2 linked regions of the Arabidopsis thaliana genome follow. The protein of the gene in region 2 interacts with the protein of the main gene of each other region in a pairwise test. Each region holds a gene or a part of one and is shown on either strand. Other genes may lie near its edges.

The links.
Region 1: the proteins of AT1G23750 (region 2) and ISPF interact in a two-hybrid assay, tested with the Arabidopsis thaliana proteins (one large-scale study listed by BioGRID).

The regions. Positions count from the first base shown.
Region 1 is NC_003070.9:23,737,867-23,742,303, forward strand, and holds ISPF (isoprenoid F), read right to left. Parts: upstream 2,519-4,437; 5' UTR 2,471-2,518; coding exon 2,140-2,470; intron 2,051-2,139; coding exon 1,920-2,050; coding exon of another isoform or gene 1,896-1,919; exon of another isoform or gene 1,882-1,895; intron 1,291-1,881; coding exon 1,057-1,290; 3' UTR 807-1,056; downstream 1-806. Other genes in the region: AT1G63960 (Copper transport protein family), read left to right, coding at 318-640; AT1G63980 (D111/G-patch domain-containing protein), read left to right, coding at 2,780-2,857, 2,946-3,030, 3,328-3,404, 3,499-3,535, 3,626-3,786, 3,991-4,087, 4,175-4,335, 4,411-4,437. UniProt on the Arabidopsis thaliana protein: Enzyme of the plastid non-mevalonate pathway for isoprenoid biosynthesis that converts 4-diphosphocytidyl-2C-methyl-D-erythritol 2-phosphate into 2C-methyl-D-erythritol 2,4-cyclodiphosphate and CMP. Is essential for chloroplast development.
Region 2 is NC_003070.9:8,398,263-8,402,370, forward strand, and holds AT1G23750 (Nucleic acid-binding, OB-fold-like protein), read left to right. Parts: upstream 1-1,793; 5' UTR 1,794-1,985; intron 1,986-2,359; 5' UTR 2,360-2,375; coding exon 2,376-2,601; intron 2,602-2,721; coding exon 2,722-2,909; 3' UTR 2,910-3,288; downstream 3,289-4,108. Other genes in the region: AOR (Oxidoreductase, zinc-binding dehydrogenase family protein), read right to left, coding at 1-248, 338-497, 577-900, 984-1,394; JP630 (BURP domain-containing protein), read left to right, coding at 3,880-3,930, 4,068-4,108.

The sequences.
Region 1 (4,437 bases), about 15 Mb from region 2:
CACACAGACTCTATTTATGTGATTCTTCATGGGTTATGATATGATCCCTTAAATAATGATTTTGATTTTTCTTGTCTCGTTCATGATTATTTAGTGAAAAACCAAATCTTTTAATCACTCATTATTGAGTTTGAGTGTGAGTTTAAGTTTAAGTTTCTTCTTGTTAATGAGCTTTTGCTGCAAAGCTTTGAATAATAATAATACGTTCTGTTTTTGGTTTTCTTTATGGATTATGAATTGAAATCTCAAAAGAACCTACCACCTTGAAAAGATCTTCCTTAGTCTCAAGACCTAAATCTTAACACTTTTTATTCCAGGAATTACAACTATTACCATGGATTCAAAAGAAGGGAAGTTAACGGTGATTGGTGAGTTTGACGAAATGCAGATTCTCAAAAAACTCAAAAAGAGATGGGAGAGTGCGAAAATGGCTACATTTGGCCCGTTCGATCCGAAGAAGGAAGCGGAAACCGCTGCAGCTGCGGAAAAGAAGAAGAAAGAAGAAAATGAACGTGAACGTGAACGTGAACGTGAAGAAGCTCTTTACCGGTCTCAGTCTCACCATGACACTCCGGTTTGTCCAATGCATCATCACACTACTATTGTGTGCGATCATGATCACGGCTGTATAATCTCTTAAGATTTGCAGTATGTTAAGTCTCTGATTAGTCAGAAGTTGATTTTATATTGACGGGTAAGGATTATTCTCTGATCATTGATGTATTTATTTCAGTATGATATTATTATTCTCTGATTTTGATTTAAGAATTCATGTAGACAAGGAAAGCAACAACTATATGACAGACAAATAAAAAATTGTGTCACAAGGAACTTGCAGTCCAAGACACAGTTTCCAATTATATTCAAATCTGACCAAGGAACTAGGAATCACAATGAATCATCAACAAAATATGATTCGATTTTCTCTGCTTCTACGAAACGATTCGATTAATTAACCTTTAAAGGATGATTACACTTTACAATCAAAAGTATGTTTTTCTTAAAAGATGAGACACTTTAAGGAATATGATAAAGAGCTAAAATCAATTTTGACTTCTATTTCTTCATGAGGAGAATAACAGTGTGAGCTGCTATGCTTCTGTTTTCTCCGAGGCTATCAACTTTCTCATGTGTTTTGGCTTTCAAGTTCACTACAGAAGGATCTGCTCCAAGAAGCTTGGACAGATTGGATCGGATTGTCTCTTTGTGTGGACTAATTTTTGGTCTCTGGAGAATCAACGTCGCGTCTAGGTTTCCTATCTCATACCCTGCCTCGTCCATGAGTCTCACCTGAAACACAAAGTCAAATAAACCTCGTCTCAAGTTTATTGAATCATTCTTCATACCGACGAGAATCTAACATTTCTTCTGTTATATCTATATAACATCATTACAAGTGATTCAGATTAGCTTCCACGCAATCAACATTCACAGTCAATCATGGTGAACTTAACAAACACATTACGCCAAATGTGAACCCATAACTTAAAAGACAGGACAAGAAAGAAACTTTATAGCTTCAACCTTGAGTACCTCTACTTATCATCAATCATATGTGTTGAAATCTAACAATACAAAGATGCAGGAACCTAAAATTCAACAGAAAATTGAGTTATGCCAAGGCTTTTCAAGACAAAAATCATGTATACAAGAGTGATAAGCTTATAGATAGCATCGTTGAGTGATGACAACAGTTCAGGGATAAGATCTGATTTCCATATTTCTTCGACTTCCTATAGATGAAAATAATTTACTCAAGAGTATTATTAAGCTGAGTAAATCCCATCAACTTATGGATCTAGCTTGAATTCTGAACCATTCTATAAAGTACCACACACAAAATAAGGCTTAAAGAAGAAGTAGCTAATACTGGAACATACACACAAAATTGAACATCAAGGTAAGCGTCGAAATCTTACAGCTTCTTTGATGAATACAGAAGAAGCAGCTCCTTTCCATTTAGGATCAGAGTCAGGGAAAATCTGACCTATATCTGGAAGGCCTAGTGCTCCCAAAATTGCATCCACTACACAATGAAGTAACACATCGCCTACACAAATTCCAACATCAAACTCAAATCAAAACCCTAAAATCTACAAGAAGACGAATTAACCAAATCGAATTTCAAGAAATGTTTACCATCGGAGTGAGCTTCGCAGCCTCTATCATGAGGAATAACAATCCCACCGATGATCAGAGGATACCCTGGCTCTAAACGATGTAGATCGAAACCATGACCGATTCGAAACGGAAGCGTTTTGGTTGGTTTCTCTGAAGTCACAGATTCATTGACGTCGACGGCGGAAGAAGCAGCTGAAACCGAGGCTGAAGGACGACATGATAACGAGAGAGACTTCTTCGGTCTCCAAACGCCGATCTTCGTCGCCGGGAGAAGGAATGGCTTTTTGGTAATTTGAGAGTGAAACAAAGAAGAAGAAGACAGTAGAAGCTGAGTAGAAGAAGTAGCCATTGCCGTTCTTCTTCGATTTTCTGGTTTACTCAATTCATAATTCTGTGGTGGAAATATTCATTTCTTTATTGGGCCTTTCCTTCCTAAAGCCCATTTAAAATATGATAAACTCTCGACCGTCGATCATGTTACATATCCACTGAAGTTTACTAAAGACCACGTGTAGAGGAGTTTTACTCATCACTTCTTCGCTTTAGGTTTTCTGTTCCAGTTTCTCTAAACTTCCTCGCCCACTCTTCTCTTCCGCACCGCTTTTGAAAAACGGCGACGCATTGTCTCCATTCAATCGCCGGAAAATTAGAAGAGAAGATGGCGGCGCCGGAAGCTCCGGTTAAGTACGTCGGAATATGTAAGGATTCCGCCGCTTTCAAGCTTATGAAATCGATGGTGAGTGAATTTTCCTGTAATGATGTTAATGTGTGTAGAGATTTTATAAAGGAGAAGACCTAATTTTTTGGATTGGTGATTTTTTTAGGGTTGGGAAGAAGGAGAAGGACTTGGTAAAGATAAGCAAGGTATCAAAGGTTATGTGAGAGTTACGAACAAACAAGATACATCTGGTTAGTTTCTTCTTCTTCTTCTCCTTAATGGAAACTAGTGATTTGAATTTTTCTCGGTGGAATTTAGATTGGAGGAAACTTTAATAGAGCTACTTTTCACTTACACTAAAAAACAACAACATTATTTTCGGTTTTTAGGAGGAAATGTCTGTTTACATAGTTTAGTTTATGTAATTTGGTGAATGTGAAGTTGTGGAATCAAGATAGAGCTACTTTAAGCCTTTTGTATATTTGTGTGGTGTATATGCATCTATCGTTTATGTTATAGGTCTGAATTTTTTTAAAATGTTGGAGCAGGTGTTGGTCTTGATAAGCCAAATCCATGGGCATTTGATACAACTCAGTTCGATAACATTCTCAAGAAATTGAAAGTGGTAATGGCTGTGTTCATCTTTCGTTTTAACTATGCTCTTTGAAATATTTGAAATAATTTCAATCTTTTTGTGTATGTGTGTGTGTTATTTGCAGCAAGCTGCTCCTACCAAGACTAGCAAGAATGATGATGGTATAAGTTTTTCTTATTAAGTTGAGTTCTTTCTTGACTTAGAGAAGCTTATTTATCCTAATGATTGTTGTTTTATGTGGCATACGATAGATTCAGATAAGGAAGATGAAAGTGAAGATGATGCTGTCAAATCTGAGCCTGCCAAGTTGAAGACCGTTGCTAAAGTCACTCGTCCACAAGGAAGGTATAAACGTAGAGAGAAAGGGAAGCTTGTCAATTCATACTCGTCTAAAGATCTTGAAGGAATACTGGTAAGCTTCCTTTCAAAACAGTTCTGTCCTGTCTTTTATCCGCTCATGATCAAGATTCATGTTGATTAGAATGGATCATAACTTCTACATGTACTGTGAACTTGTGCATGTTGTTAGAATTTTCTCTGCTATCACCATTATGTAAACAAATCTCATTATGAAAGTGATAGTCCGACTTAGGCACGTTATTTTACTGTTTTGTAGGTTAAGCGAACTGAGGATCCTTCTCCTGCAGTTTGTGACATAGCCGATTCTATGGATATTGAAATTATATCTGAGGACCAAGATGCTAGTATTAAAGGTGATTAGTTTGTCCTTGCATCTTGAAATTGTGACTTTCTGCTCTTTTTTTTGAACTGAAAATGTATGGATCTTTTGGACTGAACAGAACAGAAAATTGAAGAACCTTCTTCGAACTGGTGGGGATTTAAATCCGGGTTTGTCTCGGGTGGTCTTCTGGGGGCCAAGTCGGGCAAAAAGAAATTAAAAGCTAGCGAGAGAAAAATGTTTAGTGAGAATGATCAAGAGAATCTTTACAACATGGTTCAGGTATGTTCTTTGCAGGCTGTTCTTGGAAAAGAGGTTGGGATCTAATAATATATTGACGTTTTGGAATGTCTGTAGGATAAAGCCACAGCGGGAAAACAAGGA
Region 2 (4,108 bases):
AACGACCTTCCCTGTGGCATGGTTCGTTTCTAAGTATGAAAAAGCATCAGCAACGCGTGAGAATGGGAACGGTCCTTTGGGATCAACCACAGGCTTCACCTTCCCACTCTCAATATATGGGTTAAGTTTCTTCAAAACATCGCCATTAGATGTAACAACGAATCGAAAACCAGGAGGCGTGACAGCTCCAGTCAATGCCACAACTTTCCCTCCTTCCTTAATCACCTTCACTGCCTTATCACACATCCCTTTTAACAACACAAAAGATGCTCTAATCAGAACGTTTTGTTGCAACAAATTAGATATGTGTTAATGGTGTTGTGTTTTGTTTGTTTACCAATGGCGTCAAAGACAACATCGTACTTGTCAGGCAAGTCTTCTATATTCTCCTTTGTGTAATCAATAGCTAAATCAGCACCTAAGCTTCTCACTAGCTCTAGCTTTTCTGTACTCGCAGTTGCAGCTACTTTTGAAGCTCCATACACGTGCTTCGCCAACTATATCGAACACACATATGAGTAATCAATCAACAACAATTAATCTCTGATTCTTAGATTACAAGGAACCAACTATTACCTGAATCACAAGACTCCCTACTCCTCCGGCACCATTAAGAACAAGAATTGACTTTCCGGCTGAGAATTCAGTCCTAACTAAACCTTCATCAGCGGTTTCTATCGCCAACGGAAGCCCTGCAGCTTGCGCAAAATCGATGTTTTTAGGTTTTAAAGCTAATAACTTCTCTTCCACGGCCGTGTACTCCGCTAAAGAACCAAACTGCTTTGGACCTTCCAATGCTTTCTCGCTCACGTTAGCATAAACTTCATCTCCTTCTTTCAAATCCTTCACCGCACTTCCCACTTTCACCACTACTCCGGCAACGTCGTATCCCGGAACAGTCTACTCCGACGAAAGATTCAAAATGTTAAAGAATCCGAAACCTTCAAAAAGAGTGAGAGAGAGAGATTTGAATTTGCATTTACCGGGAGAGGCGAATCAGTGGCTTTAAATTTCCCTTGCCGTCTCTTAGCATCGACGGGATTAAGAGCCGCCGCAACAACTTTAATCAAAACCTGATCTTCTTTAATCTCCGGCACAACAATGTTACTCTCCAGCTTCAGAACATCAACTCCGCCGTAGTCACTATACACCCACGCCTTCATCTCTTTCGGAATCGAAGCATCCGCCGTGACATTGACCGCCGCTGAAGCGCTCTGAGAGCTCGCCGAGATTTTCAAGAATTTCTTGCTGACTGTTTGCACGCAAGATCCGAATCTAACTCTGTTGATTTGGTAAACCGGCGATTTTGTTGTGAGAGAACAATAATGAAGAAGAGGCGTCTCACGGCGGAGTACGGGAGTTGTGGCGGTGGTTGTTGCAAGCGCTGCGTTCATTTTTCAGTCTGCCACTAGTTTTGTCTAAAAGGCTTATCTCTTTCGCTTTCCTCTGTTTTTAAAATACTCTGTTTCGTGGCTTTCTTTGATTGGTTGATATTTTCTTGTGGTTGTCATTTTAATGTTTATATCACAAAAATTGTGGCCCATAATCGTTTTTGATCTGGTGCTGATTTTGTGATTCATCTTTGTTTCATTTCTTTTAGAACTACAGAAGTCTAGAACAATCACAAAACACTTCGGTTTTTGAACATTACAATGTACAATTTTTACGTAAGAAGATACAATCGACATTAATGGGCCTAAACTTTAAATTGGGCTTTATGAATAAGCCCAACAGTTGAGAAAACGCAGTACTAAAAGTCGATCATCTAGGCACGATGAGATTAACCATAGAAACCGCGCACAACGAAGCACGATCAGTACACGTGTTAAATTATGATTGGGTCCTTGGTAGAGATTAAAGATCCACCGTCCATTTCCCCAGAACTAGAAAAAAGAGAAGGGAGAAAACTTTCTCCGAGCTCGATTGTTTTTGGAAATCGTCAATCAGATATTTCTCGTTCGTCTCCGCCTTCGATTTATCCAAAGGTAAGCTATTGATAAAAAAAACTAAATCCCTGATATTTGATTTTGAATCTCTTATACTCATACATTGCTGTTCATGTGTTGTTGTCTTGATTTCAAATCTGCCCAGCTTTTTGTAATAATGATGCATGCACTATGTTTAATGCTTGAGTTCGATTTCCCTTTGTTTCGGGTTTTGCCTCATTGTTATAACTCGGTCGAAAGTCATCTCCTTTACATGAAATTTCTGTTGTTAAGATTATATGGAATGTCCTTCATTGTTCTGCTTTCTAATTCTTGTGTCAATCTTATCTAAATCTTATAAATCAGCATTTGCATTAGAAGATTTGATCTATTTTAAATTGGTTAAGAAGTGAAATGATTGATTGTCAATGCAGGCTCTTGTTATTGAAAATGGCAGATTCCACCAAAGCAGGGTTGAAGAAGCCAGCTTTCACTAAGGTTGATCAGCTGCGTCCTGGGACTAGCGGACACAATGTCAATGTGAAGATTGTCAGCACGAAAATGGTGTTACAGAAAGGTCGTGCTGATGGTCCTCAAGCTCGCCAGTTGCGGATTTCTGAATGCATTGTTGGTGACGAGACAGGAGTGATCGTCTTTACCGCAAGAAATGACCAAGGTACTTTACTTCAGTCAATAAATCATTTGAAAAACAAAACGTTCATATAACGGTTTGTGTACTTGATTCTAGTAATGTTACAGGGTAGCTAGTAATATCTTGATTTGGTTTTGTGTGTAGTGGACTTAATGAAAGAGGGATCAACTGTAACTCTACGCAATGCGAAAATCGACATGTATAAAGGATCAATGAGGCTAGCTGTAGACAAGTGGGGTCGTGTTGAAGTCACAGAGCCTGCGAGCTTCAAAGTGAAAGAAGACACCAACATGTCCCTTATCGAGTATGAGCTCGTAAACGTCGTTGAATGAGTGACAAATTCCTCGAAATACCACTAGGAGAAACGCCCTCAAGAATAAACAAGTCAAATCCGTAACCGTTTATGTTAGCGTCAAGAAAAGAGTTAAACCCTGATCAGCTGATGTCTTGCACTAAGCTATGTAAGAGTGATGATGGCTCTAAAAGTTGAATGCAGAGCTTTTGGCTTAGGTTATGACTTCGTGATACCTTTTCTTTTGTAATGTCATCATACACGCTAAGGCTTTTGTGCTACATTATTACTCTCTTTGTCTTTGCCTCGTTTCAAAAAATCCATATTCTTAGTGAAGTAAACAGTAACTGCAAGCCTCTGTTGATCAACGACCATAATGATTATCTTTCTATTTTGGGGTTATATATAAAAATAGAAGTTTAACCAAAATGCAACTCGAGATGGGCTTGAATCACTTTGTTAATGATTGTGGAGAAGAAATGTTGTCGTGTGAAGTGATGGGACTTCAAATGTGTGTCATCATTGCGTCATGACTGATGGCTTCTTGGTTTCCTTTGTCTTTTAATATGTTTATCTTCTTACATTTTTATATGTTTGTCCTTGTCACGTATCGGTAATGAAACTTCAAACTTGATATAATAAACGAATAATAGGTATGAATACTAAAATAGTTAGTGAAGAAACAGTTTCTACCAACAAAAAGTAATGTATCTTTTCATGAGTGTTAAGTGGGCAATGTTTAGTGCGTTTAGTCCTTTTTAGTCTTTAGAGCTGTTTCCTTATCTCTTCCTCTTAATCAAAATTTTCTAATACGATTTATTCAGAGATTTTAATAGAGTAAAATGTGACATTTCGGTATTGATTGATTCATAGATTAAAAACTATATAAGCCTTGGTTCCAACTTCCAACTTCCAACTTAGAAATGTGTATATACACACATTTGCATCGATAATAACTCACCAACACTCTCTCTGTCTCCATCGAATGTTTCCTCTAACTCTCAACAAAAATGCGCAAACAATTTGTTTTTCTTCTGCCTTTCTTGTCACGTCTCTACCATGTAAGTCAAACCTAAATCGTTCATTTGAATCCGTTTGTTTCATTTCTCTATAATCGATTCACTTCAGATTTTATTGGATTTGTTTCCGTTTATTCTTTTGATCATTTTTGAAATTTTTGTAACTTCCAACAATGCAGGTAGTTATAGCCGGAGGAGAACGGTTAACTAACGGCGGTTT